Pelodiscus sinensis: one gene and its partner. The protein of the gene in region 2 purifies or fractionates together with the protein of the main gene of each other region. This does not show direct contact. Links are inferred from orthologs where the notes say so. Each region holds a gene or a part of one and is shown on either strand. Other genes may lie near its edges. The genes, in order: RRM2B and RRM1.

Region 1 (15,074 bases), on a different chromosome or scaffold from region 2:
CCTATAGGGAAATTCCAAAGAGGATGGAGGCTGTGCTCAATAGTGACAGATAACAGCATGCGAAGCAATGGTCTCAAGTTACAGTGGGGGAAGGTCTAGGTTGGATATTAGGGAAAACTATTTCACTAATAGGACGGTGAAGCACTGGAATGGATTACCTAGGGAGGTCTTGGAATCTCCATCTCTAGAGGTTTAGGTCCCAGCTTGACAAAGCCTTGCCTGGAATGATTTAGCTGGGGTTGGTCCTGCTTTGGGTAGGGGGTTAGATTCAATGACCTCCCGAAGTCTCTTCCAGCCCATGACTTGCACACTATGCCTCTGTTAATGAATACTTAAATTCCATTGCTTTTGTGTAAGAGTATCACATTTATGACTTATGTCGAGGCCAGGAGTGGCCTGAGGCCGGCTGCAGCAGCTGGTGCCCCAGGCAGGCGGCGCAATTGACGCTCCCACCTGTATGGCCATGACGCCATCATCAGGTGCCTGGGCCAGCAGTGCTCTAGGCAACTGCCTAGTTCGCCTAGGCTCCCGGGCCGCCCCTGGTCAAGGCTGTGATCCACCACACCTTTCAGATGCTTCTCTGCAGCACTGCTGCCATGCCCATTTTCCACCATATAGTATTTATGATTTTGTTTTTTCTTCCCCAAGTGCAGCACCTTACATTTGCCTTTCTTGAATTTCATTTTGTTGTTTATAGCAGTTTTCCAATCAAGATACTTCTGAATTTTAGCTCTATCCTCAAAAGTATTGGCAACCCCACAACTTTGTGTCATCTGCAAACTTCATCAGCATGTTCTCTCTACCTATATCCACATCATTAATACAGATGTTCAACAATTGACCCAAAACAGTTCCCTGTGAACCCTACCTGAATCACTTAAATCTCTGTTCTTTACTTTTAAACTCATTCTTGTTTTAGTACAATATCAGTGAAAGTAAAGTGTGAGTCTTCAGCTCAACTAACAGGCTAGTGTGTACGCTGTCTCTTTGGAGGCAAAGAACTTAATAATTTGTGACCATCGCAGTGAGACATTTCTAGGGTTCACTGACCATTAATTGCATGGTTTAGATCAGCAGAGTCTCAAGGAACTTGCTGGTGAAGTGGACCGACTGGAATGGCAGGAAGCTGACAGTCTAATCTCCAACAAGGATCACTCTTGCTGGACCAGAGATCATACAGTGGCTTACGGTTCTGGGTGTTCTGATCAGAACATCACACTCACCTCTTCTACTGTCCAGAATGAAGCTTGTGCCTTTTTATACATTTTCCACAAATCCGGGTATTGCAGTGGGAAGATGACAAATCGACGAGGATTTTTTCTGAGAAGAGGTTCTTCATTTGATTTAAAGTCATTTTCAATTGCACATGAAGAGAAACCCTTAAGAAAAAGCATGTTATATCAGAAGATTATTCTCCAATTGTAACTCCACCACTTAGCTTAATTATTTTAAAAAGTAAGATAAAAAAAATCCTTAGAATGAAACCACTGAGACATGCACATGCCTGAACCAAGTAACTGAAGGATCCTCTCCTGTAACTCTTGCTCTTCCGTCTGCCATCCCTACTATTTACTGCCATTGCTTGTTCTTTCTGCCCAGCTCTACCTAGAATAATTTTGGGTGCAGTAAATTAATAACAGTACCAGACGTTTCTCTCATTCTAGAGGCAGCAAGAAGGGGGAGGGGTCTTGCGTGAAACTATGAAGGTTAACCAATGAGCCCCGGTCCATCAGTTAATCATTTACATGAATGCATCACATCCCTATTGTGTACCTTCCACTACTCTGATTTCATCTTAGCTGGATGTCATCCTTCTGTTTAAATCTGTGGTATCCATCCAGTTCTGAAGCAGTAGCCAATATAGCAGCTACAGCTATAGTGAATTAGCCACATTATTCTGAAAATGTAAATAATAGAGTGGCTACTGCTATAGCCAAATAGCTACATGTGGCAAGTGGCAAGCATGTTGGAAACCATGGATTTAAATGATGATGGGCAGCCAGCAGTGCCCGTTTGATATCAGGCAGTAGTGAGTTCATACTCCCAGATTCATTCACATTACAACAGTCATACACTCTAGTGCTACAGATTTGTCTGCCTTTTTTGGAGAGCTGCACATCCAATTCTAGCTGAAAAAGAGTAATCAGAATGCAAACATCTACAAGACATCATCAGAGCAAATGACTGCAAGGAGCACCCAAGAGTTGGTTCAACTGCCACATCAAAGCAAAGGAGCTCTAACATAAGTACTTAAAGACAAAAAGGGACAACAGGACCACTAGTAATAGTTATATCACCTTGCCAATACTATGAGCATTGGATACCCAGATAGTTTGGATATTATATAAGAACCCCATATAGACAGCTATCCTGGAGCTGCTGTGGTGGAAAGCATATCCAAGAAATATTACATAGTATAAGATAATAAAGCTGTAGGAGGAATGTAAATTATTGTGTTAAATGGAGCTAGGAACCCCTTTCTGACTCCTCAACCTTTAAACTCTACCACGTCTCCACTCAAAATTAGGGATGTTAAAAAGAATTTGAGGTAAACATGTAACCGCTGACAATTTCAGCTACATCACAAGGTAACATCCTCCAGCATAAGAACAGCCTTCAGGAGCGCAAGTGCAATTGCTATTCTACCCCTCGCTATCTTCTGCCCATCCACTCCACAATTCCCCACCCTCTCAGCTTTGGCTCAGAGGGCCTATACAAGAGGGAAGTAACCTGGAAAATGATGGAAGAGATCTCAAGGCAAACCACTGAGTGGGAAAAGACATTCCAAAACTGTGGGAACAGTAATATTTTATCACCATTGACATGGAGATTAGCATCGGGACAATAAATACCCATACCACCTGGAAGGTTATGACCTGGGCACTAGGGGTATTATCTGAAAAATGCAGTCATGTTTCCAAAGGAGGAAAAAAAAGACAAAAGGTGAAATATTCATGGAAGCAGTGATTTCATCCCAGCAAATGACCAAAAGACAGAAGGGCAAAGGGAGTAGAAAAGTAGCACATGGCCCTGCAAAATTTCACAATACAGACAGAAACAGCTTTGTTGGAGCACCTTTTGTTACAAACGTCAAGCACAGGACATTACAACCCAGACTTGTAATGTCCTGTATGGTATGGGGAACACACCATAATTTCAAATTGCAAATCCTACTAACTAGGGATGTTAGATATCACATAACTGAATAGTCATGTAACTGCATGAAATCTTAGTGGTTACACGACTATTCGATAGTCCCCAGGGGCGGAGCTGGCAGCCAGTGTGCTCTTGGTACCACTCCCAGGGTGACAAGTGGAGCCAGTCCATGAGGGGAGCCAGTTTAAAAAACTAGCTCCCTGCGCATACCAGCTGTCTGCCACCCCACACTGCTGCTTCTGATGCAAAAGCAACAGCATGGAGTGGCAGTGGCCCCTGTCCATGGGAAGGGGTCTGAGTTCTCCATGGACAGAGGCTGCTGCCATGAAGCCGCCTCTGCTTATGGCAGGCCAAGGCTTGCCACAGACAGAGACTCGGGCCCACCACTGACAGAGACTGCTTCATAGCAACCTCCCCTGGCCATACCCTCTGACAGAGGCAGCAGTACAGAGGGAAGAGGGCAGGAGACACTGCAGAGCCAGTGCTGAGGAGGACTGACTTTTAAGCTAGCTCCCCCCCAGCACCAGCTCCTGCTTGGCAAAAGCAAAGATATTTACTCTCTTGATTAAATGCGATAACAAAGCAGTCTTACATTTCCAGAGGGCCAAACTGGACAGTCTCTAGGAAAATAATTAATGGACACAAATCTGATATCTGAAAAGGCAACACACAAAAACCTGCTGGGGAACATTTTAGCTTGCCACAGCACTCATTAATGGATCTCAAAGTTACCATATTGTTTCATGCCAATTCCACAAGCTAACTCCACAGGGAAGCCTTAAAACTTAACTTCATTTATAAGTTTGATTCCTGTCACAGAAGTATGAATAAAGATACTGGCTGGATTGTCCACTATATTCCACATCTTAATGACATAAAAAAACCAAATAATGGGTATTCAAGACCAATCAGCACCTTCTCTGTAAGCTTCATGTAGCATGGACACTAATGACTATTTCTTCCCCCCTTTTTTCCCCCGTTCTTTTTCCTTCTCTCCCCCAATCTTCTATTTATTTAGAAACTGGACCTTTAATAACTCCACTCATCTGAAGAAATGGGTTGGGCCCACGAAAGTTCATTATACCATCTACATGTTTTGTTAGTCTCTAATGTGCTGCAAAACTATTTGTTGTTTTTTAAGTACATTCTCTTTCCCCTTAGCTTTCCTTTTCTTCTCTCAGCCCTTTGGACAGAATGTCAAAGACAAACTTATCAAATATCAAAGAGATTCCTTGGATAGGTAATCTCCCTGTCTTATGTATAAGTATCTCATCATGCCAATAAGCCTACTTATGAAATTAGATACGTTTTGCATACCTTGCCTGCTCTTCCATTTCTCCAGAAATGTTAATGGTAGAACTACCTGTTGATACAGCTCCACATACCAGTGGGTTCAGTGATACTACTACAAGTGTAGACAGGACATGCTGTATCTCCTAGATCTGCTCTATGATTCTTGGACTTTGAAAGTATTTGCCTGTCCACTACAATATCATGCCTCCCCACCCCAAAAGATTCTTATAGATAATTTTTCTTCTAAAGCGTCCTCTGTATTCCTCCTCAGTCAATTCAGGATTAGGGATATAAGCAACTTGCCGATTAGGAACCATCTTTTAAACTGGCTCCCCTCAGCACCATCTCTACAGGGAGTCAGGGGAGGCAGAGGTGCAGCAGAGAACCCATGCTAGCGGGTACCAAAGCTGTCTCACTGGCGCAGGGTCCCCACTGTTACTCTTGTACATTTCAAAGGCAGAGGCACAGCAGAGCGCCCCCCCTTAGCAACTAATCGAGTAGACGAGGACTACTCAATTAGCTGATTAACTGACATTTAACATTCCTATTCAGGATTATAATTCTATCTTTGGAAAAAGCTTCCTGTTTTTCCCAAACCATATGAAGTTATGTAAATATGTATAAGCACAATAGTTGCCTCATGAGAGCCTATTTTTTAATTTTATTTTCCAACAAAAAAAAATGATCTGCCCTTTCCGGAGGCTGCCCTCCCATTAGTCTCTCTGTATGTCCATGTTGTTGCATAGTACTATTCCTGGCTGAAGATTGTCAGTCACACACGCCTATTTTTTTTTTAAGATACTGAGAATCTATCATTTCTGTACTGTAACTCATTCCCAGTCCAGTCAAGAGTATAGAAGAAATACTCTGCAATCCCCTCTTTCCTTCTCTAGGAGAATCAAGTGAATTTGATTAGATCAAGTGAACAGAAAACTACGTGGGAAGGTCTGAAGGTAGCCAAGCATAAACCAAGTAACTAGCAATGCTTGGGACATGACAAGGATCACAGCCCCCAGGCGCTGCAGGGAGCGAGGGGATCCCAGCACTATGCGGGGGTGGGGAGGGAGGGGAGGAAAGGCAACGCGCAGCCCAGCTAGGGGGTCCCAGCTGGGCTCGGGGAGGGGTAGGAAACCCGGTGGGGGAACAGGGCAGAGGGGCGGGCAGCAAGGAGGCTAGAAGGGCCCCCCCCCCGCCTTCTGGTTCCCACGGCCCAGCTGTTCTTCGCCACCGCACCAGGATCGCGTGGCCCCGGGAACTGGGGCTTCACAGAGCCGAGGAGCCCCTCCCCCCCCCCGCACCTGAGCACCCGCGACAGTCGCTGACCCGTTAGCCCCAGCGGCCTCCGCTCCTCACACACGCTGGGAAGAGACCGCGGCGAGCACCTGCCGCGCCGCCCTCCCGCGCTAGGCCCGACCCCACCGCTCAGGGGTCACGCGCCCGAGCCTCCTCCCCAGGCCGCTAGCGGCCACAGGCAGCGCGAGCCAGCGGGGCCCGCCCCCGCAGCACTTACCCGCCCCGGCATAGCGACCTCCTGCGGCGGAGCGCGAGCGGGCCGCTCGCTCATGGCGCGCGCGCGGCAGCGCCACTAGCCGGCAGCACGCGCTCACTCAGCGCTGCGTCGCCCCTGGGACGTTACAAACGGCGCGGGTGGTCTGCGGCTACGGAGCATGCGCGTTCCGACTGCGCGTGCTCGGTGACCTCGGCTGAAGCCGCTGCCCGACCCGGGCTGCCCGCGGGGGCGGGGCCGCGGCGTGAAGGCGGGAGCTACGGTGGCGGCAAATATCGGGCGCGGGGTTCCGCGCAGCCTCACTGCCCGTGGGCAAGGAGCGGCCAGGGGAGTCCGCGATGTATTTTACACCCGCGCGCTCTCCTGCCTGAGCCGGCTGCGCTGTTGAGCTGGACTTGGCCTAGCGGGGACCCCTGGCTGCAGCGGCGGCAGGTTTGTATCATTTTTGGTGGTGCCCCGTTAGCCACACCCCTCCCCCCCCCCTTAGCCAGGCCTCTGGAGGTAACATGCTCAGGGCAAGATGGACACCGGACCAGAAGTAAAAGGTGTCATGTGACCCCACTCGAAGGGCTTTTCCCACCATCCTCCTACACACAGGGATTAGTTTGCCCCTCCCCCAACCCCTCCCCCCCCCCCCATGCAACTATCCTGCAGTTGCATTAACCCAATGTGTGTGACATTAACTCGGGGGCAGAGCGCTGGGGGACGTGTTCCCTCTAAGGCTGTGTCTACACTCACAGCTTCTTGTGCAAGACCCCACAGAGCAGCCACACTGCCCGCCTGCTCTTGTGCAAGGAAATGTACAGTACGGCGTGGTAAGAGAAGGCGTCTTGCGCAAGAGCTACGCTCTTTCCTAACAGGTGTAAGCTCTCTTGCACAAGAGGGCAGTGTGGATGCTCAGCGGGGATTTCTTGTGCCAGAAAACAGGGTTACTTACCTATAACTGTTGTTCTTCAAGAAGTGTTGCTTATGTCCATTCAAACGAGGTGCATGCGCACCACGTGCACGGTTCCTGGAGCATTTTTTCTCCAGTGGTACCCGTCGGGGCAGCAGGTCGCCCCCTGGAGTGGCGCCACTATAGCAGAGCATAAGGTACCCCTGCTAGCCCTCCCCCTCCTCAGTTCCTTCTTGCCGGAAACTCTGACGCGGGGGCGGGGGGGGGGAATCAAATGGACATGAGCAACACATCTTGAAGAACAACAGTTACAGGTAATTAACCCTGTTTTCTTCTTCGAGTGATTGCTCATGTCCATTCAAACGAGGTGACTACCAAGCTACCCCTTCCTCGGAGGCTGGGTCAGAGTCACCCTGCTGAACACCCACACCGACATTCATTGACAACAAGAACTTTAATGCAGAACTATAACAGAACTCAACACGAAACTCGACAGAGAGATGCAGCAGGTGCATGACACGCTGTGTGCCACTCAACCACCCCCCTTTGCTTTGTTTACAGGAAAGAACCCAACACAGCCGCACCCACGGCAGAGTCCTCCCGCACCTGCTGGGTGAGAGCATAGTGCTCTGTAAACGTATGGGCCAAGGACCACAGAGCTGCCCTACAGATCTCAAGGATTGGAACGTGGGCCCCAAAGGCTACGGATGAGGCGTGTCCCCTGGTGGAATGCGCCGACACACGAGGCGGCTCCCTAGGCGCCAGAGCATAACACTCCCTAATGCAGGATGATATCCACCCCGACAGCCTCTGGGCTGAAACCAGCATCCCTTTCACCCAATCAGCATAGGCAATAAACAACTGAGAAGTCTTGTGAAACGGCTTGGTTCTGTCTATATAAAACGCCAGTGCCCTTTTCACGGCAAGGGAGTGCAAAGCCCGCTCCCTAGGGGAGCTGTGGTGCTTGGGAAAGAAAAACCGGGCGGTATATGTCTTGTGACGTATGAAAGGCCGACGCCACCTTGGGTGGGGATGCAGACGAACTGTGTCTGCGAACACTAAGTATGGGGGCTCCACGTCAGGGCACGCAGTTCAGAAACCCGATGTGCTGACATAATGGCGACTATAAAAGCCACCTTTAGCGACAGAAACCTAAGAGAGCAGGATGCCAGGGGTTCGAAGGGGGGACCCAGAGCTTATTTAGCACCAGGTTGTGGGCCCAGTGCAGCATCAGGGCCCTTACATGGGGAATCAGTTTATCCAAGCCCTTCAGGAACCTCTTCACCAGGGAGTCAGTGAACAGAGACCCGTCCCCTGATCCCTCGTGAAACACCATTAGGGATGCCAAATGCACCCTCACTGACGGAGCGGACAGGCCCGCCTGTTGCAGCCCAAGTAGTTAATCCAAAATCAGGAGGACAGGAGCCAAAATCAGGAGGACAGGAGGGGCAAACACCCTTACCCTGAGCCCAGGCTGAGAAACTTCCATTTGGCGGCATATGATCGCCTGGTGGCCGGCTTCCGACTGCCTAGGAGGATCTCTTGCACCCCCCTAGAACAGACCCTCTCGGGGGACTTCAGCCATGGATAAGCCATGCCGTCAGGTGGAGGGACTGTACATCCGGGTGGTACAGGATGCCCTCTTCCCCCCCGCCCCCACTCCTCCGTCCTGAGTAACTAGGTCCGGAGTCAGCAGCAGACGACAAGGGCGGGCCACCACCATTTCCCACAGGATGGGATACCAAAACTGCCTGGGCCAATCTGGGGCTATCAGGATCACCCGAGACCTTGGTCCTGGTAAGCACCCTGGGAACTAGCGGGAATGGGGGAAACATGTAAAGCAAGCCTAGAGGTCAGGGCGTCCCCTCTCGAGCCCTCTCCCAGGCCCAGAGGGGAAAAGTAATGGGGACATTTCATGTTCCCCTCGGTAGCAAAAAGATCCAGTAGGGGACGACCCCACATCCAGAAGAGGTGCGCCACCACCTCCCACTTCAAGCACCACTCGTGGACTCTGAAGGACCTGCTCAGTGAGTCTGCTAACGTATTCACGCACCCCGGCAAGTATGCCGCCTGTAACTGGATGCGGTGGACTATGCAGGATTCCCACAGGAGAGCCGCCTCCTGACACAGCGGGGATGATCGGACTCCCCCCTGCTTGTTTATGTAGAAAACAGACGCGGTATTGTCCAGCAGCACAGACACCGGTTTCCCCGAGAGCACAGTCAGGAAGACTTTGTGGGCCCTCCTGACTGCCCTCAATTCCCGGACATTTATATGCAACCCCCTCTCCTGGGGGGTCCACAACCCCTGTGTCCTGCGGCACTGCAAGTGTGCCCCCCAACCATTGTCAGAAGCACCCGTGATGAGTTGGGCCGATGGCAGTTCTGCACGGTAGGGGACTCCTGAACACACCTTGCTCTCCAATGTCCGCCAACTGAGCGAGGCGAGGACTCCCTCCGGCACTGTAAGGATCCAGTCTCAACTGTCTCTGGCCTGGTTGAACGACCCCACCAACCACGCCTGCAGCGGCCTGAGCCTCAGTCTGGTGTGCCTGACAACATAGGTGCAGGCTGCCATATGGCCCAGCAGTCTCATGCACGACCGTGCCGTCGTCAGCGGCGACTGCCGCAGGGCAGACACCAGGGTCTTTATGGCCTGGAACCTGGATAGTGGGAGGTAAGTGCACCCTGTCTTGGCAGACAGGGCTGCCCCCATGAACTCTATGTTCTGGGTAGGGGTAAGTTTCGACTTTTCCTCGTTCACTGCAAGACTCAGTCTGTCGAAAAGGGACTGTACCAACCCTATCTGCGAGAGGACCTGTTTTTTTGAGCAGCCTCTGAAAAGCCAGTCGTCCAAATATGGAAAAACCTGGACTACCATCTGCCTGAGATAGGCTGCCACCACCGCCAGACACTTCGTAAACACCCTGGGGGCCGTCGACAGCCCAAAGGGGAGGACTGTAAACTGGAAGTGTTGGTAGGATACCACAAACTGGAGGAACCTCCTGTGGTTCGCCCGAATTGACACATGAAAGTAGGCGTCCTTTAAAATCGAAGGCCGCATTCCAATCACCCTTGTCCAGTACTGGAATAATTGAGGCCAGGGTTACCATCCAGAACTTTTCCCTTTTTATGTGCATGTTGAGGGCCCTGAGGTCTAGGATGGGCCGAAGCCCTGCCTTTGGCTTTGGGATAATAAAATAATGGGAATAGTATCCCCTGCCCTCCTGATGGGGAGGGACCCTTTCCACCGCCCCTTTCTCTAGGAGAGTGAGGACCTCCTGCTCTAGGAGGGCCTCGTGAGATGGGTCCCCAAAGAGGGACGTGGAAGGGAGAAGGGAAGAGTAAGGGCCCAGGAAGGGAATAGAGTAGCCCTGAGACACAATGTCCAGCACCCACTTGTCTGAGGTGACAACCAACCAGGCCTAGGCAAAGTGGGACAGCCTGTCTCCAAAAGGGGGGGAGATAATGGCCATCAGTATGCGGTCCCCTAGCGCACCCTCAAAACTGCTGCTTGGGAAGAGAGGGAGGGGGCTGAGTGGGGCCCCTGCCTGCCTCCTGTCACGGCCGGCGGCGCCTGTGGCGAGCCCCCAGACCCTGCCCCTGGGTAAAACCCCCGGACGGACCACGTGGTCTACTCTGCCAATAGTCAGGCCGTGCGGCTTGTGGAGGGCCCCTATGTGGCTGCTGATACGGTAACAGCCTACGTTGGGGGGCCGGGGTGTGGATACCCAATGACTGAAGAGTCGACCTGGTATCCTTTAGGCTAAGAAGCCTGGAGTCAGTATTCTCTGCCAACAGGGCTTTCCTGTCGAACGGCAGGTCCTGGATTGTGGTCTGTAAGTCTAACGGGATCCCCGAGACCTGCAGGCAGATGCTGCACCTCATTACCATGCCCGACTCCATCGTCCTGGCCGCAGAGTCGACAGCATCCAGAGATGCCTGCAGGGCAGTGCGAGCAATCATTCTGCCCTTTGTGGCCAGGGCGGAGAACTCCTGTCTGTCCTCCGGGGGCAATCTGTCACAGAACCGGTCCATCACTAGCCAGGTGTTCTAGGCGTAGCGACTGAGCATGGCCTGCTGGTTGGCAATACGCAGCTGCACCCCCCCTGTCGCGTAAACCTTGCGCCCCATCAGATCCAAACACGTAGGTTCTTTAGCCTTAGGGGATGGGCCCGGCTGCCCCTGCCCCTCCTGGGCAGCTGCCTGGGCCACCATAGATTCCAGTACGGGATGCGAATAGAGGTGCTCATGCCCCGACTGGGGGACACAGTACCTCCTCTCGAGCCCTTTGAGCATCGGGGAGATAGAGGCCGGCATCTGCCACAGCGTACTGGTGATCTTTGCCACCTTCTTATTGAGTGGCAGTGCTAACTTCGCCGGAGCATCATCTGTCCACCATCGGATCTGACTCCTCGGTCACAGGCTCCACCGTGTTACCAGATTTGCCCAATACCTTGGGGTATGCTCATTTATCAGGGTTACCCTTATGGGACTGGGGGAAGGTTGACAGTTCTATCAGTGTGCTGTTGGTGCTTACTTGGGCTCTCATATGGAGCTGAATTCTCCCTGCTGCCAATTCCCCCTCCCACTGGAGCTCTCCTGCAGGAACTAGGTTCCTCAGGATGGGGTTCTTCCCACCTTAGCAACACACACAGACACTCACACCCACTAATCAAAGCACGTCTGAGAGGACTGGGTACTCAGCACTCACAAGCTGACCCCCTCATATGTCCCTGGACTCAGCTGGCTGGGTTTCACAGCAATGCCACACTGCACCCTCATGTGCCTTTGGACTCCGTGGGCTGGATTAAACAGCACTTTAAGCTGCCATCCTCATAAGCCCCCAGGTTCAGCACCCCTTATCCCCACTTTCACACCACAGTCATTCACAGGTAAACCACACGATGAGCAAACCCCACAGGATTTTGGGCACTCCAGGGATCTTTTGCTTGGGTACAAGAAGCGTTGTTGCAGAGCGAATGGGGAAGCCAAAACAACACCCCTTAAGGAAGAGTGAGCAAAAGAGAAAGAAAGAGAGAGAAGCAACCAGCTTAACAATGAAAGTGATTTATTTCTGAGTAGTGAATAGATATCAAACAGTTACAATATTAAATCTAACAATTACAATATTAAATCTAAATTGAAGCTGCTTACAAATGTTAGGTAACCATATAACAGTTTACACAGGGCAGGGTCAGGAGGCTATGCTTAGAGAGATAGGAGAGAGAGAGAGAGAGAGAGAGAGAGACCTCACCACTCCACGGAGCTTGCACTGATCGGGGTTCCCAGATGATGATGGTAGCCGGGGGTCCAGAGGGCAGGAGAAAAGCAGGACAGAGCCCCCAGCACGATCAGACAGGAGATGAAGAAGTCTCAATGGAACTGATGCAGTTTAAGTCCAGGTATCAGAACAGTTTTCTTGGGGCAAGGATAGGAGTTTTATAGAGATAGTTCAAAGAGAAAGAGGAGAGACAATAGAGACTGATCACCCCTGGTTATGGGTGATGTTCCTTGAACGAGCTCACAATGCAACTTGGCAGTTTCAGTATTTTAGATGTCAATAGGGTCGTTACTAGAATTGGTCTGATAATGACTAATTTGGGTGTGAGCAGGCTTAGGTTCATTAGCATCTGGAGCAGGGATTTCCCATCAGGCAGTGCTTCTCTGCTTTCGGTGTCCCATAGTTCAGTGCGGTTCCTGCCTTGGAAGAGCTGCTCTCCATTCTGTATGCTAATGAGATGTCCCTCTGTTCCATCTTTAATGTAAATGAGGCTGGGGTGTTTCCTTAATTGTATCACCCTTGTCTGAAGCAGTTTAGGTGTGTCTTCCCTGGCCTTTTCTTTGCTTTGTCTTTGATTCTAGCAGAGGCCTGAGGGAGGGGAATGGTTTTCCATGAGTGTCACTCCCTGACTCCCCAAGAGCACAAGGCTGACAGGTGACCATGTTCTGGTTCCCCAATAATCACAGAGCTGGTGGGTAACAAGTGGGACCCCAAGATTTGTGGCCAGCCGGCACAGCAGCTCTTGGTGGGATCTAGCATCCATGGCTGGCATAGCCAGGGCCGGGTCAGCCAGGGCCTCATCAGGGGACAATGAAGATGTCAACTCGTGACTCAGGACCGGCTGCTCCACCACACCCTGGATGGGGGCTGGTTGTTGCGGCCTCCCGGGCTGCTGTTGGGCCCCTGCCCTCGGGTCACCGGGGTCCAGGTGGCCCCTGGGGCTAGCCCCTTTAGGTGAGGGTGGGGCTCTGGAAAGGGAGGCCAAGGGCGCGGACCTCTGCCGCGAGCCACTGACAGACCCCGAAGGGAGGAGTGATCCCTGCTACTGGTGATAAGCCCAGGGTGTCCAAAAGGGCCAGGGCTGTTGGACCTGCGGCAGCCATGTCTACTCAAATCCCTGTGGTGCCATTGGGTGCCGGGAATGGGATCGGTACTGGGACGACAACCGCAAAGATCCCACAGAACGCAGGAACTCTGCCTCGGACTCCGAAGACAGTTCGGACGCCGACCATGGCAGTGCCAACGAAGGCTGACCCTGTACCGCTCCCGGGCAGAACCTCGTCATCAACTCCGGCTTCCCTGCGTGGGGACGGAGCTGCAGGGGACGGAGCTGCGGGTGTGGCGGCAGTGGCACCGGGCCACACGCTGCTTGCGGTGCCAGTAGAGCCGGAGCCTGTGGTGCCTACAGGTACGGTGCCGGCGGCACCTGCAACATCGGAAGGGCTTGCGGTGCCGGCACGGGCAGAGCCAACAAGGCTGGTACTTGGGGCCACAGGGTGCATGGGTGCCGGCAGTGAAGCCTCCCAGATCGGCTGGGCAGGAGACTGCGGCACAGTCTGCCCTCGTACCACTGTGGCCGGCAGCGATAGACGGTCCCTCGACTCTACCGGTGCCGGCCGGAGCTCCGAGGCCCGGGAGACCAACAACCATTACCGTCACGTAAAAAAACTGAGGAGGGGGAGAGCCGGCAGGGTACTTATGCTCCGCTATAGCAGTGCCACTCCAGGGGGCAACCTGCCAGCCCGACGGGTGCCACTGGGGAAAAAATGCTCCAGGAACTGTGCACGCAGCGCGCATGCACCTCATTTGAATGGACATGAGCAATCACTCGAAGAAGAAACCCCTATGACTAAAATGGCCATCGGAGCTTTCTTGGGCTAGAGAGTGTCCACACTGCCATGGATGCTTTTGTACAAAAGCACAGCTCGCACATGGCAGTGTGGACGTGTTCCTGCACAAGAAACCGCCAGTGTAGACACAGGCTAAGAGTTTCCTCCCATAAGCAAAATGAATTTTGTGTTGTGCACCAGTACTGAGTTCATGTGGCTTGTTTGGATGTGCCACTGTGGCACCCAAGTTATTAATAAATATCTTATAAACCTCTACCTTTTCCCTCTGCTGCCATGTCTCCCCTTGCTTCATCAGCTCCCCTGGTGCCTGCTGCCCCCAACCTCCCACCCTCCTCTGCTGTCCTGACTCCTGCCTTTCTCACTGCTGTCAGCCTTCCTGAGACCTGCCCCCCCCACTCGCCCTTCTCTCTCCCCGTGCCCACTCCTCCAGTAGCCCCACTCTGATCGTGTGAGCGACCCCTCCTCATCCCCTCTCCTAACACCTCCCTCTACACACCTGCCTTGCCCCTCTCCTCTGGTACTGGTCCCTCCCCTGAAGGTGTCTGCCCTTCTGCTTCACCCCCAGAATCCCCTGGCACCTGCGCCTTCTCTTACTCCTGCACCCTCTTGGTGCCTCCCCCTTCCCTCACTGCCACTACCCCCTTTGCCCTCTTTTTCCCTGATGCCCATCCCCTCACCACCCTCTGCCCCCATTCCCCTCATGCCCCTGTGCCCTTACACATGACTTGCTCCATCCCGGCCTTCCTCATGCCCACCCCTTCTTTCAAGCCTTCTCCCAGCACCTCCACCGCCAGCCCCCAACGCCCTTATCCTCTCCCCTCCCAGCATCACCCTGTCCCTCTCCCACTGACACCTCCCCTCCTGCCTTTTTCCTCATTGTCTGCACTTGGTCCCCTGGCATTTCTCTCTACTCTACCCTGTCCCTTTGGTGCCTTCCCCTTTCTTCCCCCTCTCCCCTCCTCCTCCGCACAAGCCCCTTCGTCTCCCAGCCCTTCCCCTAGTTTCCTCCCTTCTCCTCCCCCTCTGCCCAAGCCCCTTCCTCTCTCAGCCCTCCCCCTCCCCTACCTTCTGCCTTCCATTTTGCGGGGCC
Region 2 (15,091 bases):
AACAAGCGAAGGAAGAGGAGGAAGGTAAGAGGGGAAGGTCTGGAGACAGGCTGAGGGGGAAGACACTGGGGAGGATGTGGAAGGAGGGCGGAACAAACAGCAATCAGCAAGGGGACAGAACGTCTAATCAGAAGTGTAGAAATTTCTGACACCATCATCCATGTCCCTGCTTATACTGCTGCTCTGCCAACCTGAGTCTCTGGCTGGTTCCTTCCTGAAGTTTCTTTCCTTAAGTCCACAGAGCTGGCAGGAGGGGGATATCACAAGGATCCCTGTGCTGGGGATGGGCATTTTCTCCCCTGCCCAGTTCTGAATTGGGGAGCTGATTTTGTTAGAGCTACAAGGAGAGCAGAGCTAGGGTTTAGTGTCCAATTCCATGATGTGCCAAGCACCCTCTGCTCCTAGGGAATTCAGTGGGCTTCTCACAGGGATGGACCCTAAATGGCTCCCTGAAGAAATGTTTTAAGGATGAACATAGAGAAGAAAAGAGAGGCAGGGTCTCTGCAGCCGCATGAAAGGTGGCACACAGATGAATGGGAGGACATGCAGGGGATAACCATGCAGCTTAGGCTCAACAGAGAGAGGGCAGTTTAGATCTGGGATAAGACAAACTAATGCGTTTGGATTAGATTACTCCTTGAAGACGGGCATGTGCAAAGCAGAATCTGGTGCAAGAAACTTACAGCCCAAGTGTTACGTCTTTGCCCTGGCCTTTTAAAAGTGGCTGCAGTCCCACTCTAGGAAATTCTACAGACAGTTAGGCTGGAGTCCCAGAGCTACTACACTCCTATATATTCGTCTATCAAAAATAGCTCGTGATAGATAAAAATGGTGTAGCAAGAGTTTCAGAAAATAGTGGTGTACCCCTCAAGCACCACACACAAAGAAAGGCTGAGAAATCAAGAGAGAAAAGAGCACATGACTTCTTCAGTTTGGCCAGTTTTCTGGCAATCTTTTCCTTACCACAGTCTGACCACTGTCTTTTTAATTTCTGCAACAACAAAACTATGATTTGGGGTTTTCTTCTTTTCAAAGCCTTAACACTCTCACAAGAGATCTGGTTATTACCTTAAAACCGAAGTAGTTGTAGGAGAAATCTCTATCGTAGATGATGGAAGAGTTCAGGCGCTGGGGATGAAACAATTCAGAGACAGGTTAAGCGCTTAGACTGAGGAGACCATCTACCCCTAACATCAGATCCACACAGCTTCATATTACAAAAACAACAGCGCTCTAAATGTTCAGTGCCTCTGGTTTTCATTCTTGTGGCCTCAACACTCCATGAGTATATGAAATTGGAGTGACTTAAGACACATATCAAACCTCATCTCCCTCCTTGAAAGACTGTTCTCTACAGCATAAATTAGGAGATTGTAATTTTATTAAGAGCCACTCTTTATCCCACTACCAATGGGCCTCAGACACTCCAAGATAGATGTCCTTAATATAACAACATCAGAAATATCCTTCAGAGGTCAGAATTCTAAATGTTGCTGTCCCGTCACAAACAGCTCCCCAAAATAGAGCAGTCAGTAGGTGTTAGTTTACACCAGTAAGACTTTTGGGGGGGGGGTCTTGACAACCAACATAGTGTACTTTCTTATTTAGAAGTTTAAAATATCACTGAATATAAGTTCCTAAGATCCAGTAAACTAAGATCCCATGAAGTGCTACATACATCTTTGTTGGCTAAAACAATGTCTAGCGTTTCTTTGGCGATCATTGGGGAGTGTCTGCCATTATGAGGGTTTACATAGTTGTACAAATCTTCCATGACATCTACAAAGGAAATGGAAAAAAAAGAGTCAAGGGAAAGTAATTTACAAGACTTATTTACCAGGTCTGAAAACTATAATTACACAAATTTAACATGCCTGGACTACTCCACTTCTCCCAAAATCTAGCCCACATCGAGTGTCTTCAAAAATACAGGTCTGGTTGTTCTCCTACCTGTCCAATCCCAGAGAATATCTATTACTCAGAACTTATACCCCAAAATAATTTGCTTTTATGAAAGAAATTCTAGGAATACAACGTATCTAGTAGAAGTCAGTCAGATGCCAGATAAACCTAGTCCCTATAAAGTTGACTACCTAGATGGGTCTAGGCTAAAGAGAATGAACTTTCAAGTTACTTTGTCATCCTCACATAACTATTTCTATTGTAGGAATGAAAGAGAAAGTTAGGACATCCATATTTTAACTGTGAAATGCTCCAGTAGAAACTATTTATAGGAACACTTCTAACAAGAAAGATAACTAAGCTTTCTCTATAATACGTGCAAAACTACATACACAGGCTCTCAGAGTTTGCACAGCATGCCAAGCCTTTGTGGCGAAGTCGAAAGAACTGAATGCCTCAGATACATGGGCTCGATACTTAATTGCTCCTGTTTAGGAACAAGATTACCACAGTTCTGTTTCGTAAGGCTCCAAGCCCCATGCTGGCTCCCTCCTTAACAGCGGAGCACAAATGCCCATAGACACACTCACCACTGAACACTTTCTTGGTTTCTTTGTGCAAGTTGGAGACCGCAATCCTTGCGGCTAGGATGGCATAGTCGGGGTGTTTGGTAGTGAGGGTTGCAGCTGTCTCAGCAGCCAGTGTATCCAGCTCCACTGTGGTGACACCACTGTATAGACCCTGGATTACCTTCATGGTGATCTGAGCCTGGGGAAAGCCGAATTCAGCAGGTTAACTACCTATGTTACCGTGACAACACCATCCTCAACAGCAACAGCCTAGTCGAACCACATTTTCCCAACACCTGGCATCATATTTTCTCTTTGCAAGAAAAGTTATTACAATAAGTGTTTCACTTTAAACAAGTATCAAAGGGGTAGCCGTGTTAGTCTGAATCTGCAAGAACAGAAGTCCTGTGGCACCTTATAGACTAATAGATTTATTGGAGCATAAGGTGCCACAGGACTTCTCATTGTTCTCACTTTAACCAGCAGATGATAAAGTGATTTAGACTGAGCTGCCTTGATGGAGGGAAAGCACCAGGCTTTAATGTTACAACCTTAGTGATAGTTTGGAGAAAGGGAACAGGGAGTAGTACAGAAATGACTCATCAGGAATTATCCAATCAGGCACAAGTTTTTGTATGCAGTTAACTTGCTAAATGTTAATGTGCCCTGTTGAAGCGGTAGTGCAAAAGCTGAAATGCCACATCCAATCCAGAACTTGCTCAGGAATTTTCAAACTCCAAACAGCATTGACTTTTCACATGCCTGATCAAGCATCTAATTTGTTAAATTACAAATAGTTAATGCTAAGAGAGTTTGGAAAGGGATATTAAAACTAGGAATGTAAAATCCCATTTAATCAGTTAAATATAATGCTTAACCAGGATCCCACAGCCTAGTTGGTACCGCCTCGCCATGAGCTGCTTGGGCTGGGCCCGCTGCACAGTGCTATGGGTGGGGGCTGCTCCAGCTGGTAACAGTGATGCTTACTTGTTACATCTGAAATAAAAACCTCATGTTTCAGGGCTTAAACCAATCTCTCACATCTACCCATTAGGGTGTTTCCTGCACCTTCCTCTAAGCCAACTGGTACTGGTCACTGTCAGAAACTGGGTACTGAACCAAGAGGATCTTGGGTCTTATCTAATATGGCAATTTTGACATGCATTTGAAACATTCACATGCAACTGGGTATGTCAGACTGTCATTTTCAAACACTGGTCTTAAATTGCAAGCTCTATGGGACAGGGACAGTTTTTGTCCTGTTTGTACAGCACCTAGCACTAAGGCATCCTGGCCCATAAATGCAACTCAAGCATTGAAGCAATAGAAACAATAATGGTCTGTCATGTAAAACTAACTTTATTATTATTAGCAAGGCTTGCTAAGCGGCGGTGAGCCCCACTCGCCAGCTGCACGGAACCACACGCTGCGCATGCACAGACCGCGCCGGGCTAAAATCTACTCACCACGGGCGAGTAGATTGCCTTAATTGTCGAGCCCTGATTATTAGCCCAGTCACCAGGATGTTACACTAGGGATTCAGAGACCTAGATCAGATTCCTTGCTTTGCTACACCTCTCTGGGCATCACTTTCCCCAACTGTAAAACAGGGATAATGATTCTACTGCCTCTTTGTAAAGCTATTTGAGACCCAGGGCTGAGAAATATACTACATATTTCTATTGCACTGATAGCATTCTAAGCATCTATCACGATCATGAGGTTAGCCAGCAGCCTGGGGACTAAGGGATTAACTATACCTAACTCAGGTAGAGTTAGCCAATAGAAATGTAGGTAGGAATTTCAAACTGGGACAAAGGAATTTTTGGGTTTCCCTCCTTTGTCTCTGGGAGTTTTCTCCCCAGCTATTGAAGGGGACAGGATGTCTCCCTCTAAGAAAATACTCTTCACAGTCTGTAAGTAGGATAAAGTTTAGATAAATCCGTTAGATTTTATTGTTTTATGGTTTGGGAAATGAGATCAGGTCTGTGCATTTAAAAATGGGTTTTGCTCTCCTTTGTAACTAAGTTCCTGGCCCATGGTAAATTTCTCCTCCGTGAGTATATTATATTGTTACTATTCCATCTAATCATTATACTTGCAACAGAAATATTGTGGTGATAATATAAGTTCTCTCTCGTTTCTTTTTATTAACCTGGTATTAGTTAATTTTTGTGTCCTGGTTTGTACTTTAGGGGTGAGATATCCCAAGTAGTCTCTCCTTGGTTGCTTTATTAATATTTGGGTGGTGGCAGCAGAGAATTTATCCCCGACATCTAAGTTGTTAAGATTTGGGGGGGGGGGGGGGGGATTTTATACCAAAGCCTGGTAGATAAGATTTTGGAGTACTTTTGCTGGCCGCCAATTCTGCATTTATCGTGCCAGAGTGGGGAAGGAGCCATGACAGCATCATTCACAAATATGGCACTGTTAACCTGGGCTTGAATAACGATATTAACTGGTTAATGCACTATAGAGCCAATTTCCCCACCTTTGACATTCACATTTTCACATCAAATGCTATGAAGGGGACACATCCAGCCCATTTAATTAGCATCATTAACACAGATCCTACAATTGACAGGTAACTGCTTTTGCTGTTTTTATATATTTATATCTTTGATTCTGTTATTTCCACTCCAACTCATCTGATGAAGTGGGTTTTACTCACAAAAGCTCGTAACCCTATACATTTTTGTTAGTCTCTAAGGTGCCACAGGACCACTCATTGTTTTTTTAAAGAATCAAGTTACAGTAGTTGCAAACTGAACAATCAACCACATGTGTCACTTGGAGCCAGAAGTATGTAATCAGGCAGCAGCAGAGACAGCTCCCCTATGCCCCTCCTCCCCCTTCCCTCAAAAAAAGCAAATAAATACAGTACAGTTCTGTGTTAAATGTAAACTATTTTTTTTAAAAAAGGAAAATGGATTTTTTTTCTTCTGCTTATTAAAGTCTGAAAGCTGTATTCAATAATCAGTTGTAAACTTTCTAAAGAACAACCATAACATTTTGTCCAAAGTTACAAACATTCCTTAGGTGTTCACAACAAAGGTTCTACTGTACACAGAAAAGAAAAACACAATGGTTACCATTAAAAAAGCAGCAGTTGCCAAGAGTTCACAATAGGGGTATGGGGAATACAAACACCTCCCTTTAGAATGAAGGGGAAATAACTGAGAGGCACCTGATCACAAATGGTCACCACGGAGGACTGGGGGAAAGTGGAGAGGGTACAAAACAACTCACAGGATCAACGAAGTCGGCATTGAGTCCATAGCAGAGCTTCTGGATCCGAGAAGTGATCTTGTCAAACATGACGCGCTCATGGCGCCCATCTACCAGGTGTTGGGGGAGGAAAGGAGAGACAGAGAGTCAGGCCTTTATAGAGAGCAGCATGAATTACACAGACAGCCACATGTAGCAGGAGTCTTTGAAGGGGGTCTTTGGGGGGGAGTGTCTTTGAGAGGGGTCTTTGGGGGGACCCTTTGAGAGGGGCCTTTGGGGGGGACCCTTTGAGAGGGGCCTTTGGGGGGGCCACCTATGGCTGTCAAGGTATCTCTGTGCCCTCCCCAGCACTCCAGGGACTCTGCTCCGCCGCTCTGTGAGCAGCACCAGAAGAATCCAGCCAGAGGGGAATATTCATGCCGCCTGTGGGGATCCCCATTCCAGAAACCGGGGATCGGTGGGGATCGAAATGCTCCGGGCGGTGAGTCGGAGGCGACAGGGGTCCGGTCCTCCAGGGGAGCGTGGTGCCAGCTATGGAAGTAGCAGGAATACAAAGCAGGGACGTTACAGGTTAACCGGGAGCATATCCCTTACCAGCATCCTTACCGGTTAACCGGAGCCTGCAGCCGGCGGTTAACCCTAACCGGGTTAACAGGTTAACCGGGAGCGTATCCCTTACCAGCATCCTTACCGGTTAACCGGAGCCTGCAGCCGGTGGTTAACCCTAACCGGGTTAACAGGTTAACCGGGAGCATATCCCTTACCAGCATCCTTACCGGTTAACCGGAGCCTGCAGCCGGTGGTTAACCCTAACCGGGTTAACAGGTTAACGGGCCGGTTCCAGCCTGATCCGTTCATTGGTTAACCGATGAACCCGTGAAAGGGGATTTTGCAGCCCTGTGCCAAGGCAGGGCGGGGGGGGGGGGGCATGCACCCGGGGGCGCAGTGCCAGCTGGCCCCCCCAGGCGGAGGGGCGGGAATGGCACTGTGGGTAGGGGTCCCCCCAGGCGGGGTCCTCCCCCCGCAGAGAGGAGACGCGCGGGGAACTCGCTCAGCAGGGGCAGCCCCGAGGGGGGGGGGTCGGACCCGCTGAGCGCCCCCCCCAGTAGGGAGCCGGGGCTGCTGCCCCTGCCCCCGAGTGGGGGGGCTCTCACCTCGCTTGATGACGTGCATGGCGGCGGCTGGGGCCGGGCGCTCGCGCTCAACGCTCCGGGAGCTCCAGACGCGGCCTACGAGCTTCCCGCGCCCGCCAAGCGCCGGCCTGACCCCGCCGCGCCGCCGTACCGCCCCGCCCCCTCCCCACGCCGCGGCCGCCATCTTGAGTGCGGGCAGCGGCCCCGACCCGCCGCGGGCTCTTCTGCCCGGGCCCGGGACCCCATCGCCTCCCTGGTGCTTGCCCGGCAGCTCGCCCCTCCCTCCTCGCCCTGCTCCCCGGCTACGCGGCACAGGGGCAAAGGGAACCACGGGGGGCAAGGGCGGCTTGCCCGGGTCCAAGATGGCGGCCGAGATCCCGCCTCCCCCGCCCTTCCGATGACCGGCTGTGGGGGGAGCGGGCTGCTTCCCGCCTGGGGCGGGGCGGGGCTGCCATGTGGGGGGAGACTCCTTCGTGGGGGGGGAAGGGGAGACTCCTTCGTGGGGGGGACATGGGGGGAGGGGAAGGGGAGACTCCTTCGTGGGGGGGACATGAGGGGGAGGGGAAGGGGAGACTCCTTCGTGGGGGGGACATGGGGGAAGGGGAAGGGGAGACTCCTTCGTGGGGGGGACATGGGGGGGAGACTCCTTCGTGGGGGGGACATGGGGGGGAGGGGAAGGGGAGACTCCTTCGTGGGGGGGACATGAGGGGGAGGGGAAGGGGAGACTCCTTCGTGGGGGGGACATGAGGGGGAGGGGAAGGGGAGACTCCTTCGTGGGGGGGACATGAGGGGGAGACTCCTTCGTGGGAGGGACATAGGGGAAGGGGAGACTCCTTCGTGGGAGGGACATAGGGGAAGGGGAGACTCCTTCGTGGGGGGGACATGGGGGGAGGGGAAGGGGAGACTCCTTCGTGGGGGGACACATGGGGATGGGAAAGGGGAGACGCCTTCATGTTGGGGGAACACGCAGTGGAAGAGGGAGAATCCTACATGGGGGGGTCACATGGGGGACATCTCTCCCCTTGGGCCAGGCCCTCAGCTCTCAAGCCGTTTGAACAGCCCAAAGGTGGGGCTGGGTTAGTGCCCGCTCCCTTGGGCGAAGGACTCCTCATGCAGGAAAACTGAAGCGCCACGGTGGGTCCCCACTCGGCGGGGCTCCAGTACTGAGGTAAATCGCTGTGGAGCCGAGAAATTGGGGGCTACCTGGCTGCGCAGTGGTAGGGGAGGCCCTGCTTCGGCTAGTCATGCTGCTGTCAAAGTATTCCCCCTCCCTGCCCAGACTTGTCTATGGAAGGAAACTGACTTCACATGACAGCCTTAGTCATCCTTCCACTCTGATTGAGGTCATCTGGAATAATCCTCCCCGCCCATGTGGACATTCTGTTCTTGAACACAAGTGGTTTAATTCCAGAGTAATTACTCCCAAATAATTGTTTCCAAAGTGCATAATTATTCTGGAATAAAGTCGCTCTTGTCTGGGACTAAAGTGTCCACCTGGGGGAACCGGCGACAGAGCAAAAATAGCTCAGTTTTTTATTTTGTCCTATTTTGAATCTGTAAATGTATCCAGCATAAAGCAATTTCCCACTTCCCCAGTAGATGGCATCATTAGACTATTTTTTCTACCATCCACTTTCCCAGAAAGATACTACCTGTATTATTATTCATCATTTGTATTAGGCTAGTACCTGTTGAAGTGATCTGCCTCTGTCTGCCACTGATCAAGTATGAGCAACCCTGGATATTAGGTGTTGTGCATGCATATAACAAACAAATTATCCTTTATTATATAAGGCCATGTCTATAGTATAAGGACTATAAAAGCAGAGGTACAGGCTGCAGCTATGTTGACATAACCTCATGGTGTAGATCAGTGATGGGGGACCTAGGCTAGTGAGTGGGCTGCATGAAGTGGCCCTCCATCTCAGTGGGCTGCAAGATTGTTGTAGCCAACATAGGGTAGTTTTGCTAATTGAACTTTCATTCCTAGAATTTGTAGGATGTACCAATTGAACTGTAGTGGCACTGTGATAGGCAGAGGGAGCACACGGCTCTCACGGTCAATATTGTGTGAAATCAGAATGCACCTCACTTCATGTGCCCTTGCTTTACATGCGTGTCACTTGAGTTGAATCTCTAAAATCCGGGACTCTGAACCAGTAACATCCATCGTCCGGCAGGACTATGGATATTGCTGGACCAGAGAGCCCTTGCTGGCCAGGTTCAGCAGCGCAGCCTGGGCCGCATGGGCGATCAGTAATGTAGGCAATGGAAGGCAGAGCCTTCCCAAAATAAGGCTGGGGCCACCGTCAGGAGACGCAGCCCGGCTTTCCCTGCCCACCAAGGAGAGCCGGGCCGGAGCTGCAGCATGGCAGCTGTGGCTCTCCACATGGCCCAGAAGGATCAAGCTGGGAGTGGTCTGAAGGGGGCAGGGCTGAGGCTTGCCTTCCCCAGCTGGCTTTTCATGCGATGCCTATGCTGGGCTAGGCTGGCAGGGGGGAGTGCAGCCTCAGCGGGGCCGGCGCAGTGGGGAGCCCAGCCCAAGTCAGAGTGGCATGGTGGGGGTGTGCAACCTCAGTAGGGGCTGGAGGCAGCAGGACCAAGCAGGGAGTGCAGCTCCTGCCGGTAGCAGAGCCTACAGCTAGGTAGGGAGCCCTGAGCTCCCCTGGTCTGGCAAACCCTGTACAGTAGTTTGGACCACTCAGGTCCTGAGGGTGCTGGACTAGGGAGGTCCCCCTGTACTGGTAGAAAAAAAACTACATGGGCGAAAACCAGCAGTCACAGTAAACAAACTCCAGTCATCTGAAGAAATGGGCTGTGCCCACGAAAGCTCATGATCCCATCTACATGTTTTGTTAGTCTATAAAGTGCCACCAGACCATTTGTTGTATTTTAAGTTTAGTAAACAAAATGTCTTGCCACACATACAACCTGGTTTGCCCACCTGTAGTGTAGACACAGCCGACAGTGATATAAGGGTTTTCTTTCCATTGCTAGCACCTGAGCGAGGGCAGCACCTAGCTGTGTCTATACCTGGCAATAGGCCTGAATACCTACATAGCTGCATTATGCAGGTGTGCAGATTTTTCAGCTCCCTGAGCAATGTAGATATGTCAGTGTACATCTGAAGTGTAGAATAGATCTAATAATAAGATGGACAGTTTAAAATAAACCAACAGCTGGAGGGGGCTCATGCAATTAATGAGGCTGTTATGATTATGTATAAGGACTACATACTTAGCAGCAGTCACAGAGCTTCAGCAGCCCATTACTAAGCAGTTAGTAGACACTCCAGTGTTGGTTGGTTTTAATAAGAGATTTAGAAGAGGACAATGTGGTTGCTTTACAGTTTTTCACAGTGTGCTCCTTTCATGCAGAAGCAGCAGCATGGGAGAAAGATTTTTGCAGCTGCATTTTGATTTGCTATGGTGGCTTTGTTTTGGCTGGAGACAAGGGCCAGTGTTTGAGGTGGAAGCTGCTGAACTGTTTTGGTTATCTGTTTACAATGGCTTCTTTATGCAGGTTTAACCTCTCAAATCCGGCACTCTGGTCCGCCAACACCTATAGTCTGGCATGAGCATGGATATTGCTGGACCAAAGAGCCCTGCAGACTGGGAGCGGGAGCCAGCTGGGAGTCCCGTGGTGGCTGGGGAGCCCCAGCTGGGCCAGTGACAGCTAGCTTGGTGATGGCCTGGGAGCCTGGCAGCAGCAGGGCTGACTGAGAACCCCTGGTGACAGTGGCTCTGGCAGCAGGGTGGGGAGCCCTGGCACAGCCAGTGGCAGGATGGGGAGCCCCAACCTGGGGAGCCCCACAGCCGGAGGGAGCCTGAGAGTAGGGCCAGCAGGAGAACTTTGACCTCCCCTGGTCTGACAAACTCCTGGTTCGGGAGTGCTGAAGTCCCAAGGGTGCTGGACCAGGGAGGTCCCACCGGTATTTATTCTGAATGTAAGGTCACAGAGTTACACCCCACTCACAATAGCAGGGATTGGCCCAATACATAATATTTGCCTTATGCCGCACCGTACCTCCAGAAGACAACATGCTTTTTACTAATTCTGTACAGAAATCACTTCTTCTGCCTTTGAAAGGCAGCCACCTCTGGGGGGGGGAAGCAGCAGCTGCTTCGGAGGCTGAGAATGCCCTAATGCAGGGAAAATTAGGCAAGCAGAATGTAATCTAAGTTATAATTTGGCAGGGATAGTGGGACTATCACCACGGTTCTAACAAACATTGCCCAGGAGCGTTAATGTTGGAACCTCAGTCATTTCTTCCAAAAAAATTTGTTTTCCTTCGCTGTGCATTGGGGCATCAGTTCAACAGTGACTCTGAGCACAAATGGCTCACTACTGATTACCTAGCACTGGGATACTCTTCTCAGGTCTCCCATTTAACGGGAACCCTGCTGAGTTTGTGAGAGTCACTAAGAAAGGCTGCACAAGGTTGCAAGTCTGGAGTGCCCTAGCATCAAGCATGCAAAGAGGGAATTTCTTGGAATTAATTCAAAACCAGAGCAGATCAGGTCCCATAGTCTGCAGTGCTATAAAATAGTATGTGTCAGAAAGGTTTGCGGAGGGGAGAACAGGCTGGTTCAGCTGGAGCCCGTGCTATGTTCACTGATCTTCCTCCCTGTTGTTTTATTGGGCCTTCTTTGAGTGTCTTACAGCCATGGGCAAGACTGATTTATTTTACTAGAATTTGACAAGCACCCGGTGGGTTAAACTGTGACAGAGGAAACCAGACTTCTCCTAATGGGGTGTGACTGCGGGTAGATCAGAAAGATAAACGTTTGAAAAGCTGCACTCTCTGAGATGATTTTGGAAGGAAATTAAGCAACAAAGAGCCGGCTTACTGGAAATGTCGTGTTACCCCTTCCTTGGTAGGACAGCTACAGGCAAGAGAGAGCCTCTGTATGAGCAGACACCATAGTTATTCACTTACTGATTTCCAGAGTGAAATGTGTTCAGTCCAGCGGTGAAAGTAACTTAAAATTTCTTACAGATCCTGTCCTATTGCAACCCGGATCCCTGCCAGCTCTTTCAATAGCTCCCTGTTGGCTTTTGCCACAGCTCAGCCAGCTCTTGCCAAAGCTGCGCACCCCCTTGCTTTCACCTCTGGTTCAGTCTCAACAGGCTCTTTCTACTTGCCAACCCTTCAGATACAGTCTGGCCATGTGAACAATTGAAATCAGGCTCTTTCTGTAGCGCTCCATTCTCACTTGAACTCAAGGGATTTGGATAATGACCACGGGGGAGGTGGTCTAGAATGGAGATCAATAGTAAGAATGTATTTCTTCCAACAAACAGAACATATGCAACATGACCAGAAGATATACAGAGCCTTCATGCCCTCACTTCTGACAGATCTCACTGGAAATTCTATTTTACTATACCGTTTTATAAACATTCAAGCCTTGGCCAGTAAGAAGAAGGAAGGAAGTGTAGGTTCCTGATTCTCTACAGCTTATTTATTTAGTCCCTGATCCAGGAAAGCACATATTTATATCCAGTTCTGTTAGCAAAACACTTAAGAACCTGCAATGGGACTGTTTAGAATGATCAAGTTTTGCTGTGGAAATCAGTGGCCCTTATACATGTGCAAAATGGGTGTAAAATTCTACCATTCATTTGGCAGCATTTTTCACGAGAAGAAATGACTACATAGGGCACAGAGTGCTGAGGAATCAGGCTACAGCTACTTTGGGAGTGGGAGAGCCAATCAAATCCTGCTTGCTTTACTCACCAGACTTCAATGGCTCTTCTCACAAGGGTTTGGCCTTTGGGCAGACATGTAATTGTAACCCTGCTATGAAAGATGCTACCAAGTGGAAGTTACTACAGTAGCCTAAGGCAGGTCTCTCTCTTGCTTCATTTCCCTCCCACAAAACAAGTTTGCATGGCCCGCTTCCTTTTTTTCTCCTGGACTCTGTTTAGGTTGTCCTTACACTACAGAGAAGGTGGTGTATGTATGCCAGCAAAATGGGAGGCAGAAAAGTAATTAAGATGCACAGCTGAATGGGAGATTCTGTGCCGGGGGCTTTTGGATGAACATGTTTTTCAGAGGAAACTTATTTATGTTTTATTAGTTGTATTCTGATGTGTTCCTTTTTCTACATTTTACAGTCTCCCAACCATAGGTGCTGGGACTAGACTTGGATGATATGGACACCCTGCTCTTCAGGATTTTGCTCCACTAAAAAAAGGTTGGAAACTGCAGTGTCCAGAGACAGAACTGTGTGAGATTTCTGCAGAGCTCCTGAAATGCTTCTGAAATGTATGTATGCCCAGCAGGCACAGAGAGAAATGTTCATGGTGTTCTAGCTTTGGCAGTAAAGGGGCAGGGGGTTGCTTGTGGTAGGGAAGCAGGGGCATAGGAGAGATCAGATATTGATATTCACTGCAAAGTGTGGTGTGGAAGAGAGATAAAAACAAGAGCAGAGAGATGAGTGACTGGCAGGAGCCAGAGATTTGATAAGATCCAGAGCCTTTCATGGCTATATCACCCTTCATAGTCCTGTTCCAATGGTAGTTATTGTCTGATAATTGGTTTTGTCAAAAGGAGGTGATGGTCTCAATCCAGTCCCAAACATTCAGGCATTTACATGATAGAAACCACCAATTGCTCTGCTGAAGACTAAAGCTACCTCCTCACTGCTTCTGCCCAGGCAGGGATGGTACTGGAGAAGCTGTGGATGAGAAAAGGCTGTTTCTCTCCAGAGGCTGCCAGGCTGGCACTTTTCACCAGCACTAGAGTCCCACCACATTTTTGAGCAAGAGACTGAAAGTTAACGAGTCATAAGCTCTTTCAGATTGCGAGGTTGGCGGAACCGTGTGTCACACCCAACACTGTTGTTGCTACTCCTGGCCTGTGGCTTTTCCCAGCGGGTGGAGATGCTGCTGAACCTGCAGTACTCTGCTGGCTCCTTGCCTCCCCTGGAGACTTTAACTCGGAGGGGGCAGAGGTCCTACTTGTACTGAAAACAGAATCAATCCCTTTTCCATGTTCTGCATTATCAGTGTTTCCCCTCCCCCTCCCTTGAGATATCCTTACATGTCCTGTCTCACAATGAGCATAATGCAGCACCTTCATCCCCTACTAGTGATGCAGTGATTATTCTTCCAGGGCATTCATTTCTGTGGGAAGTGCTGTAAGTATAACGCAGGCAAACCCTGGGCTACCCATAGGCTAGAGAAGACAATAGCTAAAAGGGTTAAAACTTGGCTTTGAAACACCCATGTTCTGTGAGGTCACTGTTTGAAATCCTGGCACTGTGGCTCAACCCTCAAATAAAATGAGTTCCAGAGACTTTACTGTACAAGACCATAATAACTAGACTTTGGCAGAATTTGATTTTTTTAAATACAGTTTTAATGTTTAAATTTTAAGCGTTTTTATGTTTATCCGTTTAATTTTAGCAGACAGACAACACTATGGGGTTCAGCTTTTTTATCCATTTAAATATGAAAACTATGTGGTCATCAAACAATGGGGGGAGGGTGGTAGCTATTTAATGATAATAGATATTGAGATTCAAAAGTTACAGCTTTATAGTTGAATACAAATTGTCAACAACACGTCAAAGTATACAAAGTAGCTATCCTGCAGTCAAGTTCTACTAAATTTTCAAGCAGTATTTTTCAGACTTTACCTATTTGTAACTTGTTTAATCAATTTGTGCCTGTATGGTGAAATTGACGCTTACCAACATTTACTAATTAAAATCCTGGCCTTCCAAGCCTTAATAAATATCTGAGGTTTTATCTGCTCTGCATGCATCTAGAGCAGTGGTTCCCAAACTTCTTTTCGGCTTCATGCCCCCTTTTGGATTTTTGAGAAACCCTCACGCCCTCCCTCCCCACCCCCAATAGCAGCAAAACTTGTTGAGGAAAAAAAAAGGAAATGACTGGACTGGGACCAAAAAACAAAAATAGCAGCAAAACTTGGGAGGGAGGCTAATGGGGGAGGCTTGGTCGCCTCGCCCCTCCCCCCCAGAATTTCTTCATGCCCCCCCCAGTTTGGGAACCCATGATCTAGAGGATAGGGACCAGCTTTCCAGAGGTGCTGAGCACCTGCGGCTCTCTTTGACTTCAGCTGGCATTGCAGCTGCTCAGCGCCTCTGAGAATGAAACATTATAATACTCTTGTAATTAACCAAACCAATCACTAGAGGTCACTGATTCAAAATGAAAAACAATCCAGAAATTCATTTGTGCTGAGGGAATTAAAATAAAAAATTAAAACTCAAAGAGAAAAGCTAACAC

Evidence for each region.
Region 1: the proteins of RRM1 (region 2) and RRM2B purify together in Homo sapiens (affinity purification with western blotting; 3 studies listed by BioGRID and IntAct, counting the BioPlex papers as one, with this or other methods). This does not show direct contact. The link is inferred for Pelodiscus sinensis from reciprocal best matches to the Homo sapiens genes RRM1 and RRM2B.

The regions. Positions count from the first base shown.
Region 1 is NC_134712.1:34,418,909-34,433,982, reverse strand, and holds the start of RRM2B (ribonucleoside-diphosphate reductase subunit M2 B), read right to left. Parts: upstream 6,151-15,074; 5' UTR 6,014-6,150; coding exon 5,960-6,013; intron 5,912-5,959; exon of another isoform or gene 5,748-5,911; intron 1,380-5,747; coding exon 1,224-1,379; intron 1-1,223.
Region 2 is NC_134711.1:326,122,516-326,137,606, reverse strand, and holds the start of RRM1 (ribonucleoside-diphosphate reductase large subunit), read right to left. Parts: upstream 7,009-15,091; 5' UTR 6,873-7,008; coding exon 6,854-6,872; intron 6,496-6,853; exon of another isoform or gene 6,476-6,495; intron 5,810-6,475; coding exon 5,721-5,809; intron 2,671-5,720; coding exon 2,493-2,670; intron 1,780-2,492; coding exon 1,679-1,779; intron 1,129-1,678; coding exon 1,069-1,128; intron 1-1,068. UniProt on the Homo sapiens protein: Provides the precursors necessary for DNA synthesis. Catalyzes the biosynthesis of deoxyribonucleotides from the corresponding ribonucleotides.